Linked DNA regions of Pelodiscus sinensis. The protein of the gene in region 1 purifies or fractionates together with the protein of each later gene. This does not show direct contact. Links are inferred from orthologs where the notes say so. Each region holds a gene or a part of one and is shown in the gene's direction. Other genes may lie near its edges.

The links.
Region 2: the proteins of EDC4 (region 1) and XRN1 purify together in Homo sapiens (co-immunoprecipitation; 4 studies listed by BioGRID and IntAct, with this or other methods). This does not show direct contact. The link is inferred for Pelodiscus sinensis from reciprocal best matches to the Homo sapiens genes EDC4 and XRN1.

The regions. Positions count from the first base shown.
Region 1 is NC_134722.1:46,920,182-46,935,210, forward strand, and holds the start of EDC4 (enhancer of mRNA-decapping protein 4), read left to right. Parts: upstream 1-7,507; 5' UTR 7,508-7,587; coding exon 7,588-7,663; intron 7,664-15,029. UniProt on the Homo sapiens protein: In the process of mRNA degradation, seems to play a role in mRNA decapping. Component of a complex containing DCP2 and DCP1A which functions in decapping of ARE-containing mRNAs. Promotes complex formation between DCP1A and DCP2.
Region 2 is NC_134720.1:21,384,464-21,399,574, reverse strand, and holds the start of XRN1 (5'-3' exoribonuclease 1), read left to right. Parts: upstream 1-7,788; 5' UTR 7,789-8,035; coding exon 8,036-8,110; intron 8,111-14,489; coding exon 14,490-14,722; intron 14,723-15,111. Other genes in the region: serine/threonine-protein kinase ATR, read left to right, coding at 2,865-3,038. UniProt on the Homo sapiens protein: Major 5'-3' exoribonuclease involved in mRNA decay. Required for the 5'-3'-processing of the G4 tetraplex-containing DNA and RNA substrates. The kinetic of hydrolysis is faster for G4 RNA tetraplex than for G4 DNA tetraplex and monomeric RNA tetraplex.

The DNA.
Region 1 (15,029 bases):
ATGTCAACTGTTGCACAGATGCTCTTGTGCTGCTGCCTGCATCTCATAGCAAGTGTTGGAGTGACTTCTGAAACAGCCCCCTATGCATGTAGGGGGACTGCTTGGAGGGAGGAGAGGGGACGTTGCTGCCCCCTCTAAACAATTCTAGGTGGGGAGGATGCATTCTACAAACCCAAGTTTTTCATTCCAGAGAGTGTCTTGTTCTGCCTGCCCTGAGTGAGACTTTTGGGATCCTCTCAGGGTACCATGCTTGGTTGGAACATCATGTTGGCCTTAATATTAGCAGTGTTAATAGCCATATCAAAAAGATGCCTTAAGAAAATTCCCAAATATGATGCTTGCAGACAACCCACCTCATCCTTATGAATGATCGCATGTTGACTAGAGGATGGAAAAAGGGAAAAACATGTTCCTTGCTCCTAAGAAGGGAATAACTGGCTTCTATTTACACTAAGATGTGTTTTGAACATCTGCCTCCGCTCCTGGCGTAACTGGCTTTAGAGTCTTGCAACCCTGTCCCTTGGTGGCAAATATGTAGTGCAGTTGTAGCTACCTCGGATAGCTCTCTGGCATTGTCTTAACAGCAAATGATAGATTCTAACCCTAACTCAAATTGGAAGGGGAGAATTTCTAAGCTAGCCTGCACCATGGACTTGAAAACATCAGTCTGCAAAAGCAGTCGGCTGTGACTGCCTCGCCCTGTCATGCCAAAGCTGCTGTCTCGGGAATGGGCTGGAAGACTGTTGTGCTGCTTCCCACTGAAATAGGGTGACCTGTTTACCTCTTGATACTCTACCTTTGCTCCAGATGTGACCCTTCTTGGACTACCTCTGGGTCTCCGTCCACTGGAGATAAATATGAAAATGTGCCATAGCCGTTAGCGGGTTTAGCAGCAGAAAATGGAAAAAACAGCCCTGCTTCGGTGGTTGAATGATAGTTTACCCAGTGCTTCAAGGCAGGACTTCTGTGTATTTACAGACGACAACGTGTCTTAAACTGACCCGCAAGGCTACGGCGCTCTCCAAGTCAGCTGTGTGGAATAAGATGATACATTCAGTGTAACTGTACTGTACGATGATGGCTTGTTCTGATTGTACCTGTGACCAGTGTGTTAATCAATAAAGATTTTTCACAAACATTGTTTGCTTGGGCTCAAGCCAAGCACGTGCAGACTAGATCAGGGCTGGCTGGGTCCTAATAATGGAAAAATTAGGAAGTTGGAAGGGGGGGGGGGAAGAGTACAGAATAGCTCAGCTTAATTAAAGCACTCCTGCCCTTGGGTGTGAAATAGCTCATCCCACCCACTTGGCTGCTAAGCAGGAAACCGGCCTCGGGGACTTGGACTAAACCAGTGCCCTGCTCGCAAGGGGGGCGGGCCTGAATGTCTGTCCTGTCCTCACAAGCTGAGTTTATAGGGCTATGGCGCTTTGCAGGGGATTTGAACAAAGATCTCGGGCCTACCTAAGTGTATTAGGTGACATCTCCTAAATCCGAGTGGTGACAGCCAGCTGCTTTCAGCCAGCAGTGCATGACAGGCCGTTCCGTTATTCCTCTCAGCTGCCAGCTTTCACAGGCTGCCTTCACACTGATGGGGTGGATGCGTGGGGGCGGGGTGTCTTGAATCGGATCATTTGACGGTTCTGCTGCCATGGACTCGCATCCCATCTCCTGTTGGTCCCGAAAGAGTGGCCCGAAGGGAGGGTGTATTCCGTGTGACGGTGCAGCCGAAGTGCAAGGCCCAAGCCTGGAATGTGGCTATAACCCTGCTGCTGGACGAAGGGCGCTGTGGGGTCCCGTCCCAGGCAGGGGAGGAACTGCCTGGATTTGACTGTGACCCAAGGAAAGCTTCTCGTTGGGGTGAAACAGCATCTCTAAGGATCACGCGCAAGGGGAAGATCAAAGTCTTGGGATTCACCGCAGCGTTAAAAAGCAGCTCGGATCTCTCAACGTGCCATCGGCAGGTCCCCCCAAACACGTCACCTCCGTTTCTCCTTGTTTGTACATCTCTGCGCCACAATCCGTAAGTGTCAGTCTACTGCCACCCTTTACCTGCGGGGGGGGGCTCAAACTCATGGCCTGTGCGATTGCGCAACACGAGGACTCCTAGTGGGCCTGTTGCCAGCCCCCAAGCCTGTCACTCCTCTCCCCCCTCCATAGCACCCTGTCCCCAGAGCATGTGGCTTTGGGAGGGACCCAGCGTCACGCAGTGGCAGCAATCATGCCTCCCCTCCCCTGCAACTTCCCTGGGGGGCAGGAGCTGCAGGTTGGGGGAAGAGGGTGGGACAATGGCAGGAAGGGGTGGGGCTCAGGGCTGAGAAGACAGGTCCCCTGGGAGGGCTGAGCCAGATTGCACAATCACTCCAGCTGGGATGGGGAGTTGGAGACCCCGGCTTTATTCCCCCATCCCCCCACCTGTTGCAATGGGCGCTGAGAAACCCAGTGTAAATAAAAGGCTTTCTCCCGCGTGGGCACATCAAACCCCTCCACACCAGGCTCTTGTCATGAATTTCAGGCCGTTTACTCAGTCGCCAGATCCCCCAGCTGGGAGTCCAAAGGAAGAACACGCACTCGGGTATCCGTGACCCAGCCGGCAGCAGGAAAGGAAGCCTTGCGCTGTTGATGCCTTCTCTGTTGCCCAGCTGGAAAGTGATGCAAGTGCTGCCTGCATGCAGCTGAGACCCTGCCTGCGTCTGAATGTAGCTTTTGTAGGGGCAGGGGCAATAATTCTGGAAGAGGGGCCACTTCACAAATTTCGGAAGTGGCTGTGGGCTGCCCCGGAAGGGGAGGGCCCGCAGGCGGAAGGAGTGAAGTTGAGAATTACCCTGCTGGGTGCGGTGACCTTATTTTCTGAACCAGCTGCAGCTAGGGAGAACAGTTTAATTGAAATTATGAAATAGATTACCTACTTAATAACCACTGAAGGTGCTAACAGCTCCCTGAGTGGTATCCTTCCTGTCTTAGGAATCTGTCTATTGACTTTGATTTTTTTTTTTTATCTGCTTTGGTTTAAGTACCCATTCTCCAGATTTTTAATGATGCTCTGTTTCCCACTCCCCTCCCTTTTTCTTTCTCTCTCCTCTCCTCTCCTCTCCCCTTCCCCTCTCCTATTTATTTGGAGTTTTCATATCCCCAATTCATAACTCTGGTCATCTGAAGAAGTGGGCTGTGCCCACAAAAGCTCATGATCCCATCTACATATTTCATTAGTCTATAAAGTGCTACCAGTGTTTTTAACTTTCTCCTGTTAATCAAACTTTGTTTTAAATAAAGTAAAATGTTATGTCCAACACAACAGGTTTCAATGTTTTCGTTATGGGAGAGGTGAGGAACCCTTTTTGAGCCTGGGGTTACTGACCTCCCCTCCAAAAAATCTGGGCTTCCCATAGACCAGATTTACTGTTCTGGAGTTAGTGGATTTTATGGACCTCCTTAGGCTCTGGGATAGGGACAAGAATGAGGAGTACAGTGCGTGAGACAGGGCTGCCAGCGAGTGAGGTAGGAATGGGGTGCAGGATCTGGGTGGGAACAAGGGTGCAGAAGCAGGCTGGGAGTAGGGTGTGTGGCCAGGAGGAAGGAGCAGGGACAAGGGAGGGGATTGGAGCAAGTTGGGGGTTCTAGATCTTGGGGAGGGGTTCTAGATCTTGGGATGGGGAAGTGATGGGATTGGGGTGGGGGGTCTGGACATGAGGAAGAACCTTACCTGGCTTTGTGCCCCCTTGCAACAATGGCTGCCGCCATGCGATCCAGGGATAGCCCCAAGGCACACAGCCTGGGGCCAGCCTCTGGGGCCAATGGGCACAGGCTGCCCCAGAGGTGCTGCAGCCCGGGGCAGGTCCTGGAGGCACCACAGACAGAGGCCGCCCCAGAGGCACTGCTACCATGGCCATGTGGCTTGGGGCCAGCCCCAGAGGCACTGCAGCCACGTGGCCCCAGGCCACTCCAGAGGTGCCACAGTCTGGGACTGGCCCCAGAGGTGCTACTACCACGGCCATTGTGCCAGCCCTGGAGATGCCGCTACTGTGGCCAGGCGGTCGGGGGCCGGCCCTGGAGGTGCTGCCATGGCCGGGTGTCTCCAGCCTCTGGGGATAGCTCCAGACCACATGGCCATGGTAGTGGTGCCTCCGGGGCCGGCCCTGTTACGGAGCCTCAGCCCCAGGCTCTGTCCAGTGCTTCCACTTTGAAATGAACAAGAGCCCCCGCGGGGGACGTTTCAAAGGCGGAACGTGGCAGTTCTCGACTAATCAAATAGTCAATGGAAATCCTATTGACACTTTGATTAGTTAATTAATCGAAATTTAGCATCCCTAGTACATACCAGGTCAGCGCCCAGACTACTGTACTAGGCAACATAGTATAGGAAGGAGATGGGCAGCCCTCAGTGGAAAAAGAACAGGATAACTATTTAGAAAAGCTAGACATACACAAATCCAGGGGGCTGGATTTAATGCATCCATGGGTGCTGAGGAAGTTGGCAGATGTTTCCAAAGGCTCTGCAAGGACTTGTGGCGATCAAAGGAGGTCCCGGGTGCTTGGAAAAAGGCATATGTGGTGCCCATCTTTTAAAAAGGGAAGAAGGACAATCCAGGGAACTACAGACTGCCCGGTCAGCCTCATGTCAATCCCTGGAAAAATCATGGAAGGGATTCTCAAAGAATCCATGTTGAAGCACTTGGAAGAGGGGAAAGTGACCGGGAATAGTCAGCATGGATTCACCAAGACCAAGTCATACCTGACCAATCTGATTGCATTCTATGACAAGGTACCTGGCTCTATGGACAGGGGGAAGTCAGTGGATGTGATAGACCTCGACTTTAGCAAAGCTTTTAAAACAGTCTCCCACAATATTCTTGCCAGCAAGTTAAGGAAGTCTGGATTGGATAAATGGACTGTAAGGTGGAGAGAATGCTGACTTGATGTCTGGCTGGAAGTCGGTTTCTAGCAGAGTGCCCCAAGGATCCATTCTAGGGCTGGTTTTGTTCAACATCTTTATTAATAACCTGGATGAGGGGATGGATCACACCGTCAGCAAGTTTGCAGATGACCCTAAGCTAAGGGGAGAGGTAGATACATTGGAGGGCTGGGACAGGGTCCAGAGTGACCGAGACAAAGTGAAGGATTTGGTCAAAAGAAATCTGATGAGGTTCAACAAGGACAAGTGCGAAGTCCTGCACTTGGGACGGAAGAATCCCAAGCATAGTTACAGGCTGGGGACCGACTGGCTAAGTAGCAGTTCGGCAGAAAAGGACCTGGGGATTGCAGTGGATGAGAAGCTGGATATGAGTCAATAGTGTACCCTTATAGCCAAGAAGGCTAATGGCATATTAGGCTGCATTAGGAGGAGCATTGCCAGCAGATCTAGACAAGTGATTATTCCCCTTTATTCAGCACTGGTGAGGCCACAACTGGAGTATTGCATCTAGTTCTGGGCCCCCCATTACATAAAGGATGTGGACACATTGGGGAGAGTCCAGCGGAGAGCAACCAATATAAGTAGGGGGGCTACGAGGCGAGGCTGAGGGTTCTGGGCTTGTTTAGTCTGCAGAAGCAGAGAGTGAGGGGGGATTTGGTAGCCTTCGGCTCCCTGAAGGGGGATTCTAAAGGGGATGGAGAGAGGCTGTTCTCAGTGGGGGCAGATGGCAGAACAAGGAGCAATGGGCTCAAGTTGCAGTGGGAGAGGTCTAGGTTGGATATTAGGAAAAACTATTTCCCTAGGAGGGTGGAGAAGCGCTGGGATGGGTTCCCTAGGGAGGGGGTGGAATCTCCATCCCTAGAGGTTGTCCCAGCTTGACAGAGCCCTGGCTGGGATGATTTAGTTGGGGTTGGTCCTGCTTTGGGCAAGGGACTGGGCTTGATTTTTCTCTTTCAACCCTGTGAGTTGATGATTCAGAGCCAGGAGAGGCAGGAAGCTGACTTAGCACCCCTGCTGCACCGCTGACCGGGAGCCGCTCAAGGTAAGCCCCTCCTGCCCCAGCCCAATACCCCAAAGCCAGAGCCCCCTCTTACTCTCCACAGTTGAGTTGCGGGCATCAATAATTTTCTTCGACTGGGTCATGAGAAAAAAAGTTTGAAAATCACTGAACTAGTTGCTCCCTGACCAGCGAAATCAAGACAAGATGGGACTGCAGCGGAGAAATTCTCATGGTTAAGTCAAGGTAGAAACCAGGGAGGAAACCCTGGGACTTCTCTCCCTAGTTCAGCCAAATCCTGTGCGTATGTCTGCAGTGCACTAAGAGCTGTGGCTGGCCCGGGGCAGCAGACTCAGGGTTTTGTGCTGTAGGGCTGTTGCACAGCAATGTGGACAGTTGGGTTTGGGTTGGAGCCCGGCTTTTGAGTCCCCGGGGGGTGGGGAGGGTACCAGAGTGCAGACTCCACTTGAAGCCTGTGGGGCTACGCTGCAATCTTATGGCCCCAGCCTGAGTCAGATGGCCTAGGTCCCCATGTGCCCTAGATGCATGAGTGGCCCTTCAGAAGCAAGGAAAGGACCCAACATTCTCTTTGACATGGTACCAGAATTTCCCCAAGGGGCTTAGGTGCTGCCGCTGCTGGTCTTGAAAGACCCCTGAGCTGGATGGGCCAAGGCCCGTCCAGGCAGGTGCTGCTTTCGCAGTGCAAGGCCCAGTGCAGAGATTTGGATTAACACGAGTGAGCTGCAGATCACGTCTCCACGGGGGCAGTACAGCAGCTGCCTCCAGGTGGGAGCCTGGATGCAACATCTCTCCCAGGAGCAGTGCGGTAGGAGCCCCAGCACGGCACCTGCACAGGAGGGAAACGAGGCAAGAGCTTGTCCCCCCGACTCCCAATAGCTTCACCCCGCAACAATACCGTCAACCCCTCTTCTCCCAAGGTCGTCTGCACCCGTAACAGCCCCCTACCCTGCCCTATGTAATGGCACCCCCAGAACAGCCCCCCATTAATGGGACCCCCACCCCATAACAGTCCCTCACCCACCATATCAATACCCCTGCCCCGTAGCAACAGCCCCCGTCTGACAACACCCCACCCCATAACAATACCCCTACCCCATAGCAACAGCCCCCGTCTGACAACACCCCACCCCAAACAATACCCCCTGCCCCGTAGCAACAGCCCCCGTCTGACAACACCCCACCCCAAACAATACCCCCTGCCCCGTAGCAACAGCCCCCCGTCTGACAACACCCCACTCCATAGCAACAGCCCCCGTCTGACAACACCCCACCCCATAGCAACAGCCCCCGTCTGACAACACCCCACCCCAAACAATACCCCCTGCCCCGTAGCAACAGCCCCCCGTCTGACAACACCCCACTCCATAGCAACAGCCCCCGTCTGACAACACCCCACTCCATAGCAACAGCCCCCGTCTGACAACACCCCACCCCAAACAATACCCCCTGCCCCATAGCAACAGCCCGCCCAGCACCTGCGGGCCGCGCCCCTCCCACATGGCGCTCGGGGGGGGGGGGGTCTCGCCCCCGGCCCTGGCTCGGCCGGAACGCGGCTGCCCGGGGCTGGTTTCCGCGGGGGCCGGCGGCGGCCGGACCGGAAGCGGAAGTGGAGTCGGCGGGCCGGGCTCGGGAGCGGGGCGGCAGAGCGGGAAGCGGGCCCATGGCCTCCGCCAGCATCGACATCGAGGACGCGACCCAGCACCTGCGGGACATCCTCAAGCTGGACCGGCCGGCGGGTGAGGGCGCGCCCGGCCCCGCCCCGCCGCGCCCCCTCCCTCCCCGCCTCCGTGCGCGCGCGCCGGGGGCGGGGCTGCCGCAGGGGCCGAGGCGGGAGCTCGCTCCCCTCTGGGAGACGGGAGCGCGCCGGGACCGCCCCCCCCCGGGCTCGGGCTCGGCCTCGTGCGGGGAGACCCTGGATCTTCCGCCTAGCCAGCCCCGCGTGTCCCCCCCAGTCCTGCCCGGCCCCCCCCCAACACCGTCCAGTTCTGCCAGCCCCCCCCCCCGCCACTGTCCACTCCTGACAGGCCCCCTCCCAGCCCCCCCCCCCGCCACCGTCCAGTTCTGCCAGCCCCCCCCCCCCGCCACTGTCCACTCCTGACAGGCCCCCCCCCACCCTCCCAGCCCCCCTCCGCCACCGTCCAGTTCTGCCAGCCCCCCCCCCCGCCACTGTCCACTCCTGACAGGCCCCCCCCACCCTCCCAGCCCCCCTCCGCCACCGTCCAGTTCTGCCAGCCCCCCCCCCGCCACTGTCCACTCCTGACAGCCCCCCCCCACCCTCCCAGCCCCCCCCCCCGCCACCGTCCAGTTCTGCCAGCCCCCCCCCCCGCCACTGTCCACTCCTGACAGCCCCCCCCCCACCCTCCCAGCCCCCCCCCGCCACCGTCCAGTCCTGCCAGGCCCGTTCCCATCGCGGGCAGGTTACATTTTCAGACACCTTTGTGCTTCTCCCCACATCACCACCGGGGGGGGGGGGGTGCTCCCTTTGAACACCCCATTCAGCGACCTCATTATCCTGCCGTCAAATCTCTCCTTGACTCTCAGCAGGGAACTTGGTGACTGCAAGGCTGCTGGAGTGCAGAGAGCCTTGCTTGTCTCATGGTTTTCCTTGTACCTCCTCCCCCTCCCCTCCCCCGTCTGTATTATACCGCTGTTCTCTCTCATTTTATATGGCATTTGTAAGCTCCTCGGGGCGGGGGTTGTTTCGTCGTTCTGTGCCTACCACAGTGAGGGATCCTGATGCATGCAGTGAAGGCTTCTAGGTGCTACAGTAATACAAATGAGATCACAATAATTAATAAGATCTTAACTGTACATCTGCACCTGCTGCACCTCCAAAGCCCCAGCCATTTCCAGCTAAACTCTGCCTAGCCATGCTACGGCAGCCACACGCCTCTCTGGGAAACAGTTCCAACATCTGGGTAGTACTCGGTATCGTGGCGTCTGGGACAGGAGCACCCTTGGATTCCTGGCCTGCGCTGCTCCACTCCTGGGCTGGGCACCGTGTGCTTAGACTCTGACTCCATCCCAGCATATTGGGTGCTGTCTTGATCCATACAGAGCCAGGGTTTCTGTGGGCCTTGGCGCCAGACTGAAATCAAGGTTGCCCTCAGTCTGCCTCCCTGCAGCCCCGGGACCCCTGTTCACCTGCTGGGGTGGGCCGCAGCGAGGCGAAGCGTGTGTGTGTGTTGCGCTTGCCATGGGGTGTGGGAGGCCCAGTGAAGCTTCCTTTGTGCAGCTGAGACGCTCACGTCGGAGCCCTGTCGGAGCGGAGCTCCTCGCGGTCCCAATGTGGCTCTTTGATAGCTTTGCGTTGTGCAGGTGCAGATGTGGCTGCCCATGCGAGTGACTCTGCATCCTGTGAATGTTAAAATCAGCGAGGGACGGTTCCCAAACGCCTGATCCGGCGTAATCTCATCAGGTTTCTAGCCTCTCCAGCTACGTTCTCTCCTCAGTCTCTGGTTGGGTATGTAAGTGAAGAGCGCTGGTTTGGCAAAGGGTTGTATCGGCTTCTGTTTTCTAATAGTCAGCTGCCAGCTAGGGCCTTCGAGCGACTGCGGGCGTCGTCTGATGTGCTCATCTAATTCCCGCACCATTTTAGGAAGATGGTAGTAGGCACGTGGGGGTGGGCTGACTGCACAGTCAACCCTGCTGGATTCGCTCTCTGTACAACGCTTCTGTTTAGTGGTGTAGAGCTGACCATTAGTGTCCCTGACGTGCAAAAGCTTCCGATTGTCCAAGTAATCTGGAAACAACTGCCCTCCTGGTTTGTACAGGGAGGCCTTCTGTTTCAGCTTTCCTGGTATGAGCCAAAGGATGCTTATTAATCTCCACCTGTGGGCTGTAGGAGTAGGGATGGTAACTATCGGTTAATTGAATAGTCAAGTAACCTCATGAATTCTTATCAGCTACTGGACTATTCTGTAGTATCCGGGGGCGGGGCTGACAGCCAGTGCACTCTGGTCCCACTCCTGAAGAGCCCCCTGCCACTCTATACTGCTGCCTCTGTATCAGAGGCAGCGGCGCGGGGTGCCAGGCGGGAGCTGGTCCTCAAGGGAAGCCAGTCTAAAAACCAGCTCCCCTCACGGACCAGCTGCCTGTCGCCCCGAGCTGCTGCCTCTGACACAGAGGCAGCAGCACAGGATGGCACTGGCCCCTGTCCAGGAGGGAGCTGAGCTCAGCACAAGCCGGAACTGAATGGGTCTGCTGCCCACCTGGCTCCTAGTACACTTTAAATGCAGAGCCGCAGCAGGCGTAGGTCCCAGACCCGTTGCAAGGGAGGAATGAGCCGGCTGCTGGCCAGCCTGCTAAAAAATTTACTGGCGGGGGGTGGGGGATGCGTGTAGTCTATAGTTAATCAGTTAATCAACAGCACTATTACATCCCTATTTCTTTGCTGTAGTAAGAGGGCAGGTGGGGGTTGTCGGGAGAGGAAGGGTGAGCAAGGGACTATCGGTAGAGCCTTGTATGGATTCAAAATTTGTATCCACGTCTGTATCCTCAAAGGTGAGCCGTGGATAGTTGCAGATTTGCAGGGCTCTGACTGTAGAGGTCAGATGAAGGTTGGCTTGAGCTTCTTAACGGACTTCACTAGCTTATTTGTTTTTCCTCCTCACCCCGCTGTTCCAGTTGTTTGAGAGTTTTTCTTACTACAGGCAGTCCCCAGGTTACGTACAAGATAGGGACTATAGGTTTGTTCTTAAGTTGAATTTGTATGTAAGTCGGAACTGGCTCCAGATTCAGCCGCTGCTGCTGAAACTGACCAGGGGCTGACTACAGGAAGCTGGAGGCAGAATTGCTCTGCCCCCAGCTTCCTGGAATCAGCCACTGATCAGTTTCAACAGCGGCTGAATCTTGAGCCTGGGACAGAACAGCTGGGCTGCCAGGTAGGTCCCTGCAGGACCAACCCGGCAGCACCCCAGCTGCTCTACCCCAGGGTCCACAACAAAAGCCTGGTCTGCTGGGGGGGGGCACTAGCTGTGCCCCCCCCCCCCCCCAGCAGACCAGGGAGACGGGGAGCAAAGCCGCAGCGGTGGCGGGGTGCTGCGCCTCTGAGGCTTTGCCAGAGCAAAGCCTCAGAGGCGCAGGACCCCTCCGCCTCCCCGGCTTTGCTCCAGGTGTCCCTGGTCTGCTGGAGACGGTCCCCAGCAGACCAGGGGCACCCGGAGCAGCTTTTCTCGCCCCGGAGGTCGAGGTGGCGGGACCGCTGCGCTCTGGGCGGTCCCGCTGCCTGCGAGCTCCGGGGCGAGAAAGCCCTGTTCGTAAGTGCGGATCCGACGTAAGTCGGGGACTGCCTGTACTCTAATTATTTGGCTGGATTCGTAACCTAAAGAAACTCTGCATTAGAGCTGCCATTTGACTGAAGATCGTCCCGTGTTCTGGGACGGGGAGTGTTTGCTCTTCCGATCCAAAAGCAATCGCTCGCAGCTGTCTCCATAGATTGTTTTCTGGGCAGTATCAGCATAGACCGGCACTGCTCCATCAACAGCTCAGATGTCACCCGTTTCTAACCTCAGGTTCTCAGCTGGGTTGTCTGAGCTGGCTACTCTCTCTCTCTAGGTATCCAAGTCTCTTAACTCCCTCTCATCCAGATAGGAAAGCTGGTCCTGCCACAAGTCTCATTTTCTCCTTAAAGGGGGAAGCAAATAATCCCTCTGTGAAATCTGCCCCTGCCTGTTAGGTTCCTACGTCCCTGCTGGGGGTTGTGTTGAGTGATCAGTTTCTTTTCTCTGGGGAAGCGTTGCTTCCATGTGTTCTGTGCCACTGGCCAGGGTGAGGCTTTTTTACCTCTTCTAATATAGGTTGAATGTTTCTAGTCCGACACCTTCAGGACCTGACCGGTGCCGAACTAGAGAGTTTGCTGAACCATGGGAGGTCAGTATGGTCTAGCAGCGTTGCCAACGCTTCTCGGAGCCCAGCAAGCAGGGGAAGACATTTAAGGGTAAATTCGAGCTAAATAACAGCCCAGAACCCTGCGAGCCAGGACCGGTGGCTGTAAACAAACTTTATTTGACTGTGGGGAATCTTGGCCACACCCATGCTAAGTAGACATCTGGCTAAAATCCTGCCGGATCACGGATGTTGCCGGTCTAGAATGGACTCATGCTTGGAAAGGAACAGACAGGGCCCAGCTCTGCCCTACAGACCAGCGTAGAAGTGTGATCCTTAACTGGACAGCTATGCTGGCAGGAGCCCCTCATGGAGACGCAGTTACTGGCTCTTGTGAGGAGATGGGTTGTTTCCTTCCTCTGAGTAGTTTTCCAGCCCCAGTGCGTAGCACAATTTTACTGGGGAGCTGTGTCCACGTTAGGGATGCTTGGCCAGTGTAGGATCCTGCTATTCTGACGCCCCTCAAGTGTTCCTAGGCTAGACGTACCCTGCGTTTAAACAACCGCTTCTTGTAGCTTAGGGGACTTGGCAGCTTCTGGTGGGAGTCCACCAGATCTTTGTTCATGGGCTGTGCTTGTCTATCTGATCTCTGAGGGTCTCCATACCTTCTCACACCCCCTTTCCTCTCCCTTGTTGCTCTTTCCCGAAGCTCTTCTACATCTCAATGCCGGCTGCTGGACTAGAAGTTGCTGGTCAGAATTGCTTCCTGAGTAATGGGTTGTGAGGAACCCTTGCATGTTCGAATTGGCTGCTCCGTGGCCCGGAACGATTCCTTTGCCACGCTGACCTCTGCCCTTTCCTTCTTCGCACTCCTGGGAGGGAGTGGAGAAAGGGCAGCTTTGCACTCCCACAGGTCGCTCACGGGTGCAGAGCTACATCCGCCCGGCTGCTCTTCTCTAGGGATCCTCCTGTAGCCTGAGCAAGGCAAGTCTTCCCCACCCTCCTGCCAAAGGCAGCTCGCCCTGTAGCTACCGGAACGGGTGCTAGGTGGCCGGGCTTTCCACACCCGCAGGCTTCCTTGCACTCTGTCCCGAGGGGGAGGGCGGTGGCCTCCCAGCCCAGTGCGGGGAGCCAAAGCCGGCGCAGAATTGGGAAGTTGTGTGGAACTTGGAGGGCGAGTAACCACTGGGCCCGTCTTAACGAGGTGGAGGTGGCAAACGGTGGCAGTCACATGGTTGCAGCCGGTCTCGATTAGGGAGGTCAAATCCCGTTGAATTAGTTCACCCGTTCAACGTTAAGTTTCACTGGTTGACTGATTAAATGGGGGTAAGTGGGGGCGCCCCCACGGTCGGGCTGGAGCGGCCTGCAGGTGAAGGCTGCTGCGGCCCGGCTGCTTCCGACCCGTGGCCTTTAAGGGGGATGCTTACCGGGTAATCAGTTGCCCGTTCCCATGCCTAGTCTCGGCGCTGGAGGCATTGCCTGTGCAGCAGAGAGTAACGGGAGTTTAAAGAACTAGACGGACCAGGATGGAATGGGCTAGTGTTATTGCTTGGGCCTCCAGACGCTTTTCGATCCTCATCAGGGCGGAGGCGAACTTGCGGGAAGGGGAGCAGGAAGCGTCGCTGCTTGAGAGATTCCTTCCCCTCATAGCGGTCTGAGGAGCTCCAGCGATGGGCTAGGTCAGCGCTGGGAAGGGGATCTCTACTGCCGGGAAGAGCTGTCCTGTCCTAGCTTTGTACTTGGGTTTTCCCCAGGGCTAGTTACAAGTTACTGTCTCCCCTTTGCCTTTGTGGTGATGGGCTCTCAGGCTCTCACAGCTCCATTGATTGTCGTTCCTTCCTCTTGCTCTGTCAGCCCTGTCCAATCTCAGTCCTTCGGCCAATTGGACGCTTTGTGAGGGGCTCTTCCCGGAAGCTGCCGCCTGGTCTTTGGGAGAGGCCTCCAGGACAGCAGTGCTGTCTCGTCTCCCCATCTCCCAGCCTACCTTGGCAGCCTCTTGCCTGACGCGTGCCCGCTGCTGCCAGCGGTGCCAGTGTGTTCAGCCTTTGCGAGAGAACCGGGTAGCATTCCTCCCGCTCCTTCCCCAAGCCACTGCCGGCGAGAAGCAGCACACCAGCCCGTCACCCTCTTTCAGAGAGCTGCCTCAACGTGAGCCTCTATATCACACAAAGCGGTGGTCCCTTGCCGGGGCCGCAGGAACCGTCCTGGGCGAGGAGGTGAGACGAACGCCCAGCGTGTGATCGGAGTCTTTCCTTTCTTTGCAAGATGGGGGTGAATGCCCGTCTCTCCTTGAAGCCATGGGGAAGGGCGTAGTAATTCAGGATAATGCTCGTTCCTGGTGATGTGGTTGCTAGAGTGACGCTGCCTCCCTCCCCATGCACACACGAGTCCCCAGGAGCTGGGTATACTCAGCTACCCACGGAGCTAAACGTGACCCTCTACTCTGAGGTGCTGTGGTAGGTCTCTGTGCCAGCCGGCCACGGCCCCCATTGCTGTATGCTGCTCTGCCTGCTTGCATGTGAACCTCCACTACCTCTGGGCAGAGAGAGAGCAGAGACTTTCCCTCCTTTGAAGCCTCCCTTGCCACAGCAAGGTCCTTTCCTGAAGGCACAGCTGGGAAGGGCAGAGTAAAACCAGCTAGGACTGCGTCCGTTTCATGTTGCTGCTGGGGCAGCTGTAGTCGCTGCAGTCCTCCCCTTGCTAGGAGTGCAGTCCGTTCTGTGGGCAGGGCGAACGTCGCTGCCGTCTGCTCTCCGGAAGGCCGGTTACTGTCGCGGGTCTGTTTCTGGGCTGTGAACCGTGCAGCCTCTGCTCTAGCGTCTCTGTCCAAACATGCATTCTTCCCAATGAATCTCAGTTACTTCTTCAGGTGGCCGCGTGAGCTGCTGTCCCTGATGCAGTTAACCGCCCCGTTTGGTCGCTGGGACGCTGGTCTTGCTTCCCGAGGCCCTGCCGTTGGTGGCTGGCTTTGCGTTTGAGCTCAGTGCGCTCTCCAGCGCGGCGACAGCAGAGCCGTAACCTGTGGGTGCAGGAGCAGCCATTTCACAACAAGCCCCTTGCAGCAGCTGTTGCCAGGGCAACAATAACCCAGGTTTTCAGTTTTCTGGTCCAGTGAAAATGTCACGCAGCTGTAATAAAGCAAAGAAAGTTTTGCTGAGGCGAGCGGCTGTCAGGTGTCGCGGCACGGGGCCGGGTGGCTTGGGGGCTCGTTCATTTCCGCTGGGGATGGCTACCCCATAGCCCTAGCACTGCGGTGTGGAAACGCGTCTGGCCGCA
Region 2 (15,111 bases), on another chromosome or scaffold:
GCCTCTTTCATTTCACAACCCTGACTGATCCTCAGAAAAGGTCTGTCATATACAGTAAATGAGCTCCTGTGGAAAAGGATCCATTGATCCTTGATGTGCAGCATCAAGCATATAAATCAAGTCTGTATCATAGTGGGGTTGAGTTAGTATAAGGGAGCTAAATTAAACTTATACAGTCAATCTTCATTCTGGCATTTCCTAACTCTTAAAGAGTTTGACTTTGGGATCTTAATGTTCTTTTAGTACAGTTTTTTGTATGTAATACAATATATGAGATCGATAAATGAGTGATCTTATTATAGAATCATAGAATACTAGGACTGGAAGGGACCTCGAGAGGTCATCGAGTCCAGTCCCCTGCCATCATGGCAGGACCCAGTACTGTCTATCTACATCATCCCCGATAAACATTTATCTAACCTACTCTTAAATATCTCCAGAGATGGAGATTCCACAGGCACTCTAGGCAGCTTATTCCAGTGTTTAACCACCCTGACAGTTAGGACGTTTTTCCTAATGTCTAACCTAAACCTCCCTTGTTGCAGTTTAAGCCCATTGTTTCTTGTTCTATCCACAGAGAAGAACAAGTTTTCTCCCTCCTCCTTGTGATACCCTTTTAGATACCTGAAAACTGCTACCATGTCCCCTCTCAATCTTCTCTTTTCCAAACTAAACAAGTCCTATTCTTTCAGCCTTCCTTCATAGGTCATGTTCTCTAGACCTTTAATCGTTCTTGTTGCTCTTCTCTGGACCTTGTCCAGTTTCTCCACATCTTTCTTGAAATGTGGCACCCAGAACTGGACACAGTACTCCAACTGAGGCCTAATCAATGCAGAGTAGAGCGGAAGAATGACTTCTCGTGTCTTGCTCAGAACACACCTGTTAGTTCATCCCAGAATCATGTTTGCTTTTTTTCCAACAGTGTCACACTGTTGACTCATATTTAGCTTGTGGTCCACTATAACCCCTAGATCCCTTTCTGCCATACTCCTTCCTAGACAATTTGCTTCCCATTCTGTATGTGTGAAACGGATTGTTCCTTCCTAAGTCGAGCACTTTGCATTTGTCCTTATTAAACTTCATCCTGTTTACCTCAGACCATTTCTCCAGATCATTTTGAATTATGACCCTATCCTCCAAAGCAGTTGCAACCCCTCCAAGCTTGGTATCATCTGCAAACTTAATAAGCATACTCTCTTTGCCAATATCTAAATGGTTGATGAAGATATTGAACAGAACCAGTCCCAAAACAGACCCTTGCGGAACCCCACTTGTTACTCCTTTCCAGAAGGTTTGTGAACTGTTAATAACTATTCTCTGGGAACAGTTATCCAGCCAGTTATACACCCACCTTACAGTAGTCCCATCTAAGTTGTATTTGCCTAGTTTATTGATAAGAAGATCATACAAGACGATATCAAATGCGTTACTAAAATCTAGGTATACCACGTCCACCAGTTTTCCCTTATCCACAAGACTTGTTATCCTATCAAAGAAAGGTATCAGATTGGTTTGACATGATTTGTTCTTTACAAATCCATGCTGGCTGTTCCCTATCACCTTATTATCTTCCAAGTGTTTGCAGATGATTTCCTTAATTACTTGCTTAATTATCTTTCCTGTCACAGAAGTTAAATTGACTGGTCTGTAGTTTCCTGGGTTGTTTTTATTTCCTTTTTATAGATGGACACTATATTTCCCCTTTTCCAATCTTCTGGAATCTCTCCTGTCTTCCATGATTTTCCAAAGATGCTAGCTAAAGGCTCAGATACTTCCTCTATCAGCTCCTTAAGTATTCTAGGATGCATTTCATAAGGCCCTGGTGACTTGCAGACATGTAACTTTTCTAAGTGATTTTTAACTTGTTCTTTTTTTATTTTATCTTCTAAACCTACCCCTTTCCCACTAGCATTCACTATGTCAGGCATTCCTTCACCAGACTTGTCGGTGAAGATGGAAACAAAGAAGTCATTAAGCATCTCTGCCATTTCTAAGTTTCCTGTTACTGTTTCCCTCTCCTCACTGAGCAATGGGCCTACCCTGTCCTTGGTCTTCCTCTTGCTTATAATATATTTATAGAATGTCTTCTTGTTTCCCTTTATGCCTGAGAATATAGAGCTCCTTTCATTGTAAGTTGAGAATCAGTTCTCATTGGTTGATGATGTAACTGATGATATTCAAGGACAAGACCTCATGATAATAGTTGTGTATTTTGCCTAATTTCATGGTTGAGTATTAGTCAAAATATTGTTTTTGGCTCAAGTCTGGTCCATACTTCCAGTCTTTTTTGTTTTGTTTTTTTACATTCAGCGGAAGACATTCAGCGGAAAATGTTTACAGTCCTGCTTGCGTTGTAACAGTCAACCTACCTCCTCCCCACCATCACCATTTTTAAGTTAAAAAAACAAAAAAAAAATGCTTTTCTGAACATAAGAAGGTTGAATATTTTCTGGAACATGCTCTTTTGATTAGTTGTCTCGTGGGCTCTTTGTTACTGAGCCACATGTATATACGGTGATAATGAAATGATTTTTATAGAATGAAACACATTTCATTGCTATCTGCTTCAAGAGGATGTGCAATAATTCATTCGATCTTTAAGATCTAGTTGTAAAGTTAATGTAAAGGCTATAGCTTGTCCAAAAAGCAAGCAGTTCTTGAGAATGAAGAAAGTGACAAAAGGAAATCCAACTGTTTTCAGAAAAAGTTCATAGATATTTGTATATTAAATCTGTTTATGTGGGATCTGAAATACAAGCTATAATTGGCCAAAAGTTTATTTGGAAGAACAGGAAATGTTTCTATTACAGATATGACAAATACATAGCTATATGAATTGTAAGGTTTTTTTCTCTTGTTTATAGGCAAAGACTCATGTCCTTGACATAGAACAGCGGCTTCAGGGTGTGATTAAGACTAGGAACCGGGTAAAAGGATTGCCCTTGTCTATTGAAGGGCACGTTCATTACCTCATTCAAGAAGCAAATGATGAGAACCTGCTCTGTCAGATGTACCTGGGCTGGGCTCCGTACATGTGAAATACTGCCTTCACAACTTGTGCTTCTGTAATTTTTTTTAACCAAAAAGTTATTGAATTCTTTCTTAGTCACTGAAGAATTTTCTAAAATTACCACTTTTGTTGATTCTGATTTTGTGTATGTCTAAATTGCAATTTAATGTGCAGCCTATGTAATATATACTGTAAAGTTGTTGTACATAGGCGGTGTATGTTGTATACATATATAAATGAATTCTTTGCATTCTGAGTTTGAAGACACATACTTTTATTTGTATTTATACAGTTTTATGTATACAGAATACAATACATGAACTAGTGAACAGAATTGACAGTCGTCTCCCTGATGCAGTTGTGTATTTCCTGTATAATTAACACTCATCTATGATATTTATGAATGTATATGTTCACTTCTGTATCAGAGCAGGGTCTAAATTAGCTTTATAAAATGTTATATATAAGTTTTCTTTTGTAGGAAACCTGAGTTGATATTTTAAAAGATATTGTATATAAAATAAATTTTGTATCCGCATGGTTGAAATGGGATTTGTAACTGTATTCATGTACCTATTTCAGAAGGATTTTCCAAAATGAAAAGCTTTTTTGCAGTCTTCATTCTCACCTAGGTTTCTCTAAAGCAGGGGTCTCCAAACTACGGCCCGCGGGCCGCATCCGGCCCGCGAGGCCCTCTCATCCGGCCCGTGGAGACCTTTTTGTCTGGCCCCGCCTTCTTCCGCGTGCCGGTGTGACGAGGCGACCCCCGCCCGTCCCTGGGGCGCCGCCGAACGGGCCCTTCTTGCCGCGGGGGGGGGGGGGGGCCCTGTCAGGGGTGTGCGGCGTGTACTCACGCCGCGCCGGGGCAGGAGAAGCGGGCCGCTCCGCTGACAAGCGGCCGCGCGGCGGCAAACGGCGCAGGGGGCGGGGGTTAGCACGGGCGGCGTTCCCCCGCCCAGACTGACAGGGCAGCCGGCCAATCAGGGGGCAGGATGGGCGGTGGTGGTAACGCCCGCCCGGCGACGTGCGGGGGAACGTGAACCCCGGCGGGAACTTTAAAAAGGTGACCCCTTCCGCCCGGGGGGGGGGGAAAGGAGTGAGCGGTGGCAAGCAGGAGGGGAGGACAGCGTGCAGAGGAAGGGGAGAGCAGGGGGAAAAGCCCCCCCCCCCCCCCCCTTCCGGGAGAAACAGATTCGCAGGCGAATATTCTGAAGAGGAAACATTAAAAGCAACAATCTCTCTACCATAAGTGGATATATTTGCACACTATATTCAGGTAAGTTTAACTTAAGAAATCATAAGAATTTTTAAAAATTGTTTCGGGTCATTTGCAGCTATTATTGCGACAAAATTAGTTCGCATAATCAGGTTTTTTGAGCGATATTGTGTGCAAGATACTTTCAGTTTCATTATTTATTCATGTTTAATTCACTTTATTTTAGTGCCCAGCGATGGCCGAGAAGAGGAAAAGAAAAATAGACTATGAGTGTCGGCAATTTCAAGAAGAATGGAGTTTGAAATACTTCTTCATCAAATCCGGCGAGAAAGCATTGTGTGTGATTTGCAACGAAACCGTGGCTGTGATGAAAGAATACAACCTGCGCCGTCATCATCAAAGCAAACATCAGGAGAAATATGTACAGTTGAAGGGTAAAGTCCGTGCCGAAAAATTTTCTAAATTACAAAATCAACTCACATCTCAGAGGACATTGTTCAGTAAATCCTCAAATGAAAATGAATCCTTAACTAAGGCCAGTTATAAAGTTGCCTACGTCCTGGCTAAAAGTGGCAAACCCTTTACAGATGGTGAAGTAGTGAAGGAATGTTTGTTGGAAGTGGCTGAGGAACTTTGCCCAGTAAAGTCAAAACAATTTGAAAATGTAGCTTTGGGTGCGAATACCATTGCCCGCCGTGTTGCAGACATGGGTGAAAACATTGTGACTCAAATAGCGAAAAATGCAAGCAAGTTTCGCCATTTTTCAATTGCAATGGATGAATCGCTGGACAGCTGCTCCACCTCTCAACTGCTTGTGTTCATTAGAGGTGTGGATGAAGACATGAACATAACACAAGAGCTGGCTTCCCTACATAGCATGTATGGCACTGTTACCGGAGAGGATATATTCAATGAGTTGAAAAAAACATTTGCTGATTATAACTTGGACTGGACTAACCTCAGTTGCCTGACTGTTGATGGAGGAAAGAACATGAGTGGCATAAAGAAAGGCTTGGTTGGACAAGTGAAGCAGATGTGTAATGAGAAAAACATTATACAACCAATGTTCCTGCACTGTATTATTCACCAGCAAGCTTTGTGTGCTAAATATGTGGACATTAGCAGTGTACTGAATCCTGTGGTGAAGATGGTGAATTTAATAAGGTCACATGGGCTCAACCATAGACAGTTCAGAGACATGTTGAAAGATACAGACACAGAATCGCAAGATTTACCATATTACACAGCAGTAAGATGGCTAAGTTGTGAGAAAGTTCTGAGCAGAGTATTTAAGTTAAGAAAGGAAATAGGTGACTTCCTGGAAAGTAAAGGCAAGCCACAGCCATTACTGTCTGATGAAGAGTGGGTATGGAAATTGGCTTTTGCTGCAGACATAACTAGTCATTTAAATTTTCTGAACCTAAAACGACAAGGAGAGCAAAATCTAGTTTCTGATCTATACACCCACCTAAAGGCCTTCAGATCCAAACTTGTCTTGTTTTTGGAACAAGTACAGGCCAACAACTTGACGCACTTTCAGCAGTGCAAGGTCTTCATGGCTGAAGCAACAGCTGAGTTCCCCACGTCATTTGCATGCGAGATCATCAAAGACCTCCAGCTGCAGTTTCAGCAGCGGTTTTCTGACTTGGATTCAAAGGCAGAAGAAGTGAGATTGTTTCAAAACCCATTTGAAGCAGATGTGGCCAGTTGCCCAGATGAACTGCAGCTGGAAGTCATTGAGTTGCAAGCAAATGACCTCCTTAGGGACAAGTTCAAAATAGAACTGGTGGGTTTTTACCAGTTTTTGCCCAAGGAAGACTTTCCTAATGTCAAAACTTTTGCATCAAGGTACCTTTCAATCTTTGGAACAACATACCTGTGTGAACAAACATTTTCAAGAATGAAATATGTGAAGAACAATTTGAGAACAAACTTGTCCGATGATAATCTCAGGTCACTGTTGATGTTAGGGACAACAAATCTAAAGCCAGAAATGTCTGCTATTTTGGCATCCAGGAAACAATTTCACCATTCACACTAATACAGGTGTTCATGTGTAGTGTATCAATGTGTTATTAAATAATAACTGAATAAAATAATATTAAATAAATAATTAAAAACAACATCCATGTTTTGATTGTTTTTTATTTGGACCTCAAGTGTGTAGTCGGCCCCTGAACTGCTGTTTGATAGTTAATGCGGCCCTCGGGCTGAAAAGTTTGGAGACCCCTGCTCTAAAGTATTGTTCTTGCTGAGAAGGCACCAGGCATTTTAAACTATTGTATCAAACAGTGGCACCTATTTGACCTATTTTAATTCCTCTAGTCCAGGGATGGGAAACCTAAGGCCTGGGGGCCACCTGCGACTACCAGTGGCTACCAGTTTGCCTGCATCTAGCCCTCGGGGCTGGTCCCCCAGCATCGGGGAGCATGTGCTGGCGCACCAGCCCTCCCATCATTTTAGTGTGGGACTAGAGCACACAAAATCTACAAGTCTGGGTCCCACTAGTCTCTGGCATGTGAAGGGAATGTCTTTTTCTCCTCCGTTGGGGACCACGTCAGTGAGGTGGTTTTCGTTTTGCTTTTCACTTGTGTGTAGCCCCTGACTTATGTTTCTGTGGATCAGCAGCTCCCAAATAAAAAAAAAGTTCTCTTCTCCATTTCTGCTCTAGTCTAAACTGCTTAATAAAGCATGGTATGGAGTGTCACCAAGAGGCAGGTTTATAGTACACAAACTCCTCCAACTGAAGACAACAGCATTTCTTGAATTAGTCCACTGAAGTGATTGAGATAATTCATGCCCTTCATTTTCTTCCTTAACCTGGACTTTGTTTTTACATCCCTCCCCTAGTCTAAAAATTCTCAGGATCTTTTTTCAAGAAAGTTCTCATCCTCCACAAAAACACTATTTATAGCCTTCTACTAAAAATCCAAATAGCATAAAATATTATTCCATGACCATTAGTGACTGTGAGCACCATTTGAAAATAATACTCCATCGATATTGTTCTTATTCTCCTCCTCTCCAAAATAATCCCCACCTGGAATTACAAGGTGAATACATAATTTGAATACAAGTAATCAAATGGGCTGTATTTTAATCCCTTAATCTTTGCACATATTTTATCTAATTTAAATGGGGAGTTCTATTATTTGCATATAAATCGCCATGAATGTGTAGGGATGTAGAAAGCCCTTTAAAACCGTGCCTTTACATGGTTACATGTGCTGCGGGCATACTGCAGAGCCCGCTAGCGGAGAGCTGGTTCCTGCCTCGGCCCGTGGCGCGGTGGGCCCAGGGAAGCTGGGTAACCGGTGACCCGTTCATACCCATCTTCCTCCCAGACTCTTACAGCTCATTGTGTCCACAGCAGCGGGGGGACGGTGTCTTGCTACGGGCCCCTAGGAGCCTCGCTCTCTTATGGACCCCACCGCGGGGTCCCTGCTGGCGGAAAGGCTTGGTCCAGCTGCCCCGGGACCGAGCTCCAGACTTCACACGCTGCCGCTGCGACTCCCTGGCCGGGGCGCGTGGGGACAGAGAGGGAAGGTCTGTGCGGCTGGTCCGCGCAGGGCGCCGCTTGCCCGCGGGAGCGCGCTGAGCTGCGTGCGGGGAGGGCTGCCCCCGCCTTAGGCCGGGAGAAGGGGGCGAGGAAGGACGCTCTGTCTCTGCCTCTCTATGGCTGTAGGGCCGCTCTGCGCCGCGCTCTGTGGCGGCTGGGCGGCCTGGCTGTCAGTAGGACGCGCCGGAAGGAAGCCGGCTGAGGGGGAAGGGCTGGTTGGGTCCCGTCGGGCTTCGAGTAGGCGGCGGCCATGGGGGTCCCCAAGTTCTACCGGTGGGTCTCGGAGCGGTATCCCTGCCTCAGCCAGGTGCTGAAGGAGCATCAGGTGAGCGACGCAGGGTCGGGAGGCGGGGGGGTTCGCGCCGTCTGGCCTGGCCGCTCGGGCCGGGGAGAGTGTCCCCCCGCCTCGGCGGGCCCGGCACCGCGAACGGCTCCGGGCTCGGTTCCTCGGGGCTCCGCTGACTTGCCTCGCCCGCGCAAGGCCCCAGGTCGCTCCCGGGGGTTCCCCCCAGCGCCCGGTGCTAGAAAGCGAGCCCCGACTCGGGCCCCCCCGATAAGGCTCCGCTGGCGCAGCTGCTGGGCGGCTGAGGCTGGTGTGGACTTCCCGCATCTGGGCGTCGATCTTTCGTTCCCGGGGCGCGCCGAGGTTTAGTTCAGCCCCTGTTGGTACGTTTGGAAGGCAGCTGTTTTGCTTGACAGTATTACTTGGATGTAGAAGCCAACATATAGGTGGGGTTTTCAGAAGTGCTCACCCCGAGTCTAACTCTGCTTCTCTGTAAGTAACTGATGGTAGGCTAAAAGTAAATATAAAGTAGATGTGTAAATAGTAAATGATTGGAAAGTGGGGAGATGTATTGCTGTAGTCACTGTGTTGTTTACTGAAATAATAAGCTACAGATTTTTTAAGCTAATTATCATTTAGATAGACACAGGTTGAAAATCATAGTTAATGGAGATAGAAATGTAGCCGTATTAGTCTGGTGTAGTTGAAACAAAAAACAGGACTACGTAGCACTTTAAAGACTAACAAGATAGTTTATTAGGTGATGAGCTTTCGTGGGCCAGATCCACTTCCTCAGATCAAATAGTGGAAGAAAATTGTCACAACCATATATACCAAAGGATACAAAAAAAATGAACACATATGAAAAGGACAAATCAAATTTCAGAACAGAAGGTGGATGGGGGGGGGGGGGGGAAGGGAAATGTCTGTGAGCTAATGATATTAGAGGTGATAATCGGGGAAGCTATCTTTGTAATGGGTAAGATCATTAGAGTCTTTGTTTAAACCTAAGTGTAAAGTGTCGAATTTAAGCGTGAATGACAGTTCGGAGGATTCTCTTTGAAGTGTGGTCTGAAAAGGTCTTTGAAGCAGGATGCAGGTAATCAAGTCGTTGAGACAATGTCCTTGCTGGTTGAAATGGCAAGAAACTGTTTTTTCTTTGTGATCCTGTCTAATATCTGTTTTGTGGGTACTGATCCTTTGGCGAAGTGTCTAAGACGTTTGTCCAATGTACATAACAGACGGACACTTTCGGCACATGATAGCATAAATTATATTTCTGGATGCGCAGGAATATGTGTTCTTGATCTTATAACTCACTTGGTTAGGTCCAATGATGGTATCAGCAGAGTGAATATGTGGACAAAGCTGGCAACGGGGTTTGTTGCAAGGGAAGGTACAAGGGTTGGTATTAGTGTGGTATGTCCTGTGGTTGTTGGTAAGAATCATCTTGAGGTTAGGTGCTTGTCTATAGGAGACTATGGGTCTGTCTCCCAGAACCTCTCAGAGTTTAGTATCCTGTTCCAGTATACGCTGTAGTTTATTGATAATGTGTTGGACAGGTTTAAGTTGGGGGCTGTAGGTGATGACAAGTGGTGTTCTACAGTTGGTTTTCTTGGGTCTGTCTTGAAGTAGATGGTTTCTAGGTATTCGTCTGGCTCTTTCAATTTGCTTTTTTTTTTCCAATTTGCTTTTTCAATTTACTGTTTTTTCTTTGTGTCTGAGACGTTTGTCCAACGTACATAGCAGACGGACACTTTCGGCACATGATAGCATTGGACAAACATCTCAGACACTTTGCCAAAGAATCAATGCCCATAAAACAGATATTAGACAGGATCACAAAGAAAAAACAGTTTCCTGCCATTTCAATCAGCAAGGACATTGTCTCAACGACTTGATTACCTGCATCCTGCTTCAAAGGCCTTTTAAGATTACACTTGAAAGAGAATCCTCCGAACTGTCATTCATGCTTAAATTCGACGCTTTACACTTAAGTTTGAATAAAGACTCTAATGATCTTACCCATTACAAAGATAGCTTCCCCGATTATCACCTCTAATATCATTAGCTCACAGACATTTCTCTTCCCTCCCCCCCCATCCGCCTTCTGTTCTGAAATTTGATTTGTCCTTTTCATATGTGTTCATTTTTTTTTGTATCCTTTGGTATATATGGTTGTGACAATTTTCTTCCACTATTTGATCTGAGGAAGTGGGTCTGGCCCACGAAAGCTCATCACCTAATAAACCATCTTGTTAGTCTTTAAAGTGCTACATAGTCCTGTTTTTTGTTATAGTTAATGGAGGGCATTGTTTATCAGTGTCCAACATCTTAGTTTATCCATCTTGTCGAACAAAGATTTCATTTATTTGATAGCATGTAATTTGCACATAACAAGGGAAATCAACTGATCAGTTTCACTTTTATTTCTGTTTTACATTTTCTGTGGCCAGTTTTACTTTCTTGTTCTTAAACACTAAAACAATGTTGCAAAGCTTGGGTTAGGAACATCAGGGATATGTTTAAATCCACATGTATTTTTATATTGTTTCTTTTTAATTTAATAGAAACCTTTGTATTAATACTGTTTCGGAGTTTTTTTTAATTTTTGTTCTATAATATAAAAATGTTCCTAAACTGCCTGATAGTAATCTTTGTAAAGTACTTCTAAATGTTTATTTTTGTCCTATTGTTAAAAACCTGTTTTAGCTGAACACTATGCCACCAGCAAATGCTTGAATTTTACTTTCTGGCCCAGTTAGCTTCAATTAAGAGTTAATTTTAGGCTGGGCATTTACTAGAGAGACTTTATTCGGTGTATATGTGCTAACATACCTCCCTAAGGAGTTTTTCTGCCAGTATAGGAACACTGCCTCCCAAAACAATCTTAACTATGTTGGCAGAAGCACTCTTCTGTTGAGATAGCTGTGACTACACTGTGTTTTTTGCCACCATAACTGTCAGTCAGGATGTGGGTTTTTTATACCCTGACTGATTTAACTGTTTGGGGGTGGGAGCGTGTTGTGGAGCAATGCAGAAAAGGTTAGAGCAGTGGTCTCCAACCTTTACATACCCAAGATCACTTTTTAAATGACAGACCAAGCCAAGATCTACTTCCCTGCCCGTTTCTTGAAGCCCCGCCCCTTTCTATTCTCCTGCTCTCCATCATTTGCTATTCCCAATCCTTATACTGCTGCCTTTTTTTTTTTTCCAATTCTTCTGTAGGAAGAGGTTTTTCCAACGTTTGGCCTGTCTAGACTGGACCAAATGTCAGAAAAAACCCTTCTTTTGGAAGCCCCCTTATTTGTCGTGGAAAGAGGAATATAGGGGTGACCAGAAGAGCATGTTTGCTCTTCCACTAAAAAAAGTGGAAGAACAAACGCATTCCTGGATGCAGGAGAGTTTTTCTGGGATATCTCCAGAATCCTGAAAAACTGCAGTCTAGCCTTACCCTTGCTGGGTTGAGACAGGATGTGTAGGCTCTGGGGTGGGAATGAGGGATTTGGGTGTGGGAAGGGGTGAGAGGTGCAAGCTCTGGGAGGAAATCTGGATGCAGCAGGAGGTGGAGAAGGGGATGCTGGCTCGGGGAGGAGGCTCCAGGCCGGGCAGTGTTGGGGTACTAAGCAAGCCAGATGCTTGTGGAGTGAGGGTGCAGGAATTTGGGTTGAGGTATGTGAGGGGCTCAGGGCAGGAAGTTCCAGTGTATGATAAGCTCAGGTCTAGGGGAAGGGGGAATGCAGGAATGGCTGTGGGCAGATGAAGGCTTGGCCCCAATTGGGGGTTTGTTGGCCAGGCTTCATTTTAAATAAAATACTGTGTCAAACACACAAAGTTTCTGCATTGTCTTTGTTTATGAGATGGGCAGGGAACCTGTCTTGAGTCAGGGGTCACTGACGCACAGAAAAGTCAGTTGGGAGCAGGGGACATGGTACTGGGGAAGGGTGCTAGTGGGTGCTGGGGCAGGGAACAGGGTGCCAGTGGGGGCAGAGTTCTGCAGCTGGGGGCAGGGGCAAGGGAACAGGTTTTTGCAGCAGGGGAGAGGGACAGAGTTCTGTGGCTGAGGGCATGGGAGAGGAAACAGGGTGCCAGGAGGACAGGTTTCTGCAGTAGGGGATAGATTTCTGCAGTGGGGGACAGAGGGCTGGGGGTGACAGGTTTCTGCAGCAGGGGACAGGGTGCCAGTGGTGGGGCAGGTTTCTGCAGAGGGGGGACAGGGGAGAAGGGAATGGGGGGGCAGGAGGGCGGGGGACGAGGTTCTGTGGCAGGGGTCAGGAACAGGGTTTGGGGGGCAGGAACAGGGTTCGGGGACAGGGTGCCAATGGGGTCAGGGAGTCCCCTACACCAGCCTCGGAGGGAAGCCTCCATTGCGCGCTCCCTCCGGGGCCGACCCCGCAGAGGGGGGAAGCCCACGCATGCGACCTCTCGGGGCCAACCCACCCCGCGGAGCAGGGAAGCCTGCACACGCGCTCCTTCTGGGCCTGACTCCCCCCTTCTGCAGAGAAGGGAAAGCCTCCGGGGACTTACCCGGTAAGTTCCCAGAATGCCAGGGATCTGGGGCAAGGAAACAGCTAGCGCATTTCTGGAACCCCTGGAAGTGATGCGCAGCTGTAGGACTTTCCTCCACCCCACTGGAAGCTGCCACTACCTTCATTGTTGCTCGAGGTAGTTAGTGGGGCTTCTTGGGGGTGGGAGGAAATGGGAGGCCCAGAACGCCTCGCGCTCAACTGGTTGATGACCACAGGGTTAGAGGGTGAGAATACAGCCAAATAGCTGCACATCAAAACACTTGTGACTGGTTGATTATTGTGCTCACATGCAGCATCTCTAGTCAGGCAATTTTCATTTAGGTGTCTAAATGTAAATTTAGAAACTTTAAGGCCATTTTCCAAATTGGGCGCCTAACATTATTGGCTATTCAAATAAACATATCATACTTGGGCTGCTATCAAACAGTTTTTTAGTTATGCTTTTTTAGTCACTGCCCTCCCCCTGCTGCCTGTATCAGAAAGAGGCAACAAGGGGGAGGAGGGGAAAGGGATGGGGTATTTCAAAGCCGCACACTACTAGAATGATGTAAACTATTGGGCCAGCTACTCAAATACTGAAGCAACAAGTAACAGGGTTTGTTTTGTTTGAAGTAGGGGGAGGGAGCACTACTGGACAGGGTTATGTTGTTTGTTCTTCTGTTTGCTCTTGCTGAAAAAGTGATAGAAGATAAAGGGCAGTTTGTGTGCAAAACAAAGATTATTATTTATAAATGTAATTAAAGTATGCTTCTTCATATGTAGAAAATGCCCTCTGCTATCCTTCTATATGTTCTGCTTCATGTGAAAAGGTCATGCGGCTCACCCAAGTTTTGGAGCTTTTATAGAGTGCTGTCACTGCAACACACATCCTCTTGTGACTGAAGAGCTGGTGTCCATGTGGATGTGGTGGACTTTGGATATGCAGTTTTACTTGGACCGCAAAATTAGGTCCTTTATTGGAGGGACTAAATACCATTTTAGGAAGCGCATAAAAATAATTACTGAGCACTGTGCATCAGCTGTAGTGTAATACATTGCAGAGCCAGCTGTACAAACAAGACACTAGATATTAGAGATGTATTAGTTCCTTTTTAATCTTGCCTCTACCTTTTCCTTCACTTCATGTTTGCCAATACTGAAATAGAACTCTGCTCCTCCTGACTCTAGAACACAAATCCAAAAACATTTCCCATGTGAGAGGATGGTTCAGCAACAACACAATAGGTTGTCACAGAAAGTGAGCAAACAATCCTACAGAAACTAGCAGGGGACTCTCATGGTTAGGATTACTTACAACATCAAGCAAGTAGATGTGTGTACAAAATGGATATGTTTGCTTACAAACTGGCCTTGTTGGTGTTAAATTTTTGGACAAAAACATGGTGGTACCTGTTGGCCCAAGCAGCTAGCCAATATTTGGAGCCATGCTGCATTATTTATATGAGCAAGGTATTTTTGTGGTGCAAGTCTGTTTATTTACAAAGAATGTATGCAAAAATGCCATTTTCCTGAAAACAGTAGGAACAAATAGTGAACAGCTTCCTTGCTCACATTTTGCATGCCTGCTTTTTAGCAGAGTCCAGTGCCCCAAGGAATTCTGTCTCTGCTTGCATTCAAGGTCATGGTCTCTGCATATCTTTCATTATCTTCAGGTTTTCTGGCAACTTTTACCTTACTTTACACTCAACTGGACCTAACCAATGCCCCCGCCTCTAGGTTTACAATCAGTCCCCAGGAAAATCCCTTGTCTCACACAGCTCAGAAACTGCTGAGGTTTTCCTACTTTGGAAGACAGCTTCTGTTGTTTCTGCTGTCACTGAACAAAGGCAACTGTTTCTAGGTCTGTGATTGGTAAGCGTTATCAGTAAAACATTAAATGTCTTTTTTCCTAGATTCCAGAATTTGACAACTTGTACCTGGATATGAATGGTATCATCCATCAGTGTTCACACCCTAATGATGATGATGTTCACTTCAGAATCTCAGATGATAAGATCTTTGCTGATATTTTCCACTACTTGGAAGTATTGTTTCGTATTATTAAACCAAGAAAGGTTTTCTTCATGGCCGTTGATGGAGTGGCTCCAAGAGCAAAAATGAACCAGCAGCGTGGGAGACGTTTTAGGTGAAAATATTTTAATACTGTATTGGTGTGTTTGTGAATACATTGGATAGCACCTGTTTATGAGATTTTTTTTTAATTTCAAATTGAAATAAGTATAAAATACAAAGTTTTAAATGATTATGGTTTTGACTTTTTTTTTTTTTTGTTAAGTAATAACTGAGCAGTCATTCTTCAGAATTGAGGTTTTTTTGCCAGTGCATTTGAAAAAAAACCTGTATACATTGGGGAGTACTTTTCATCCTTTGCTTTTGAAGTGAACTCAGTTTGCATAATGCTACAGAAACTGGTATAAATCGTTTACTCTTGCAGCCAATGGCTTAGAATTATGAGCCTATAAAGTTTGGGGTAGTTCATTCAAAGGAGTCTGGACCCAAGAATTATGACCTAGC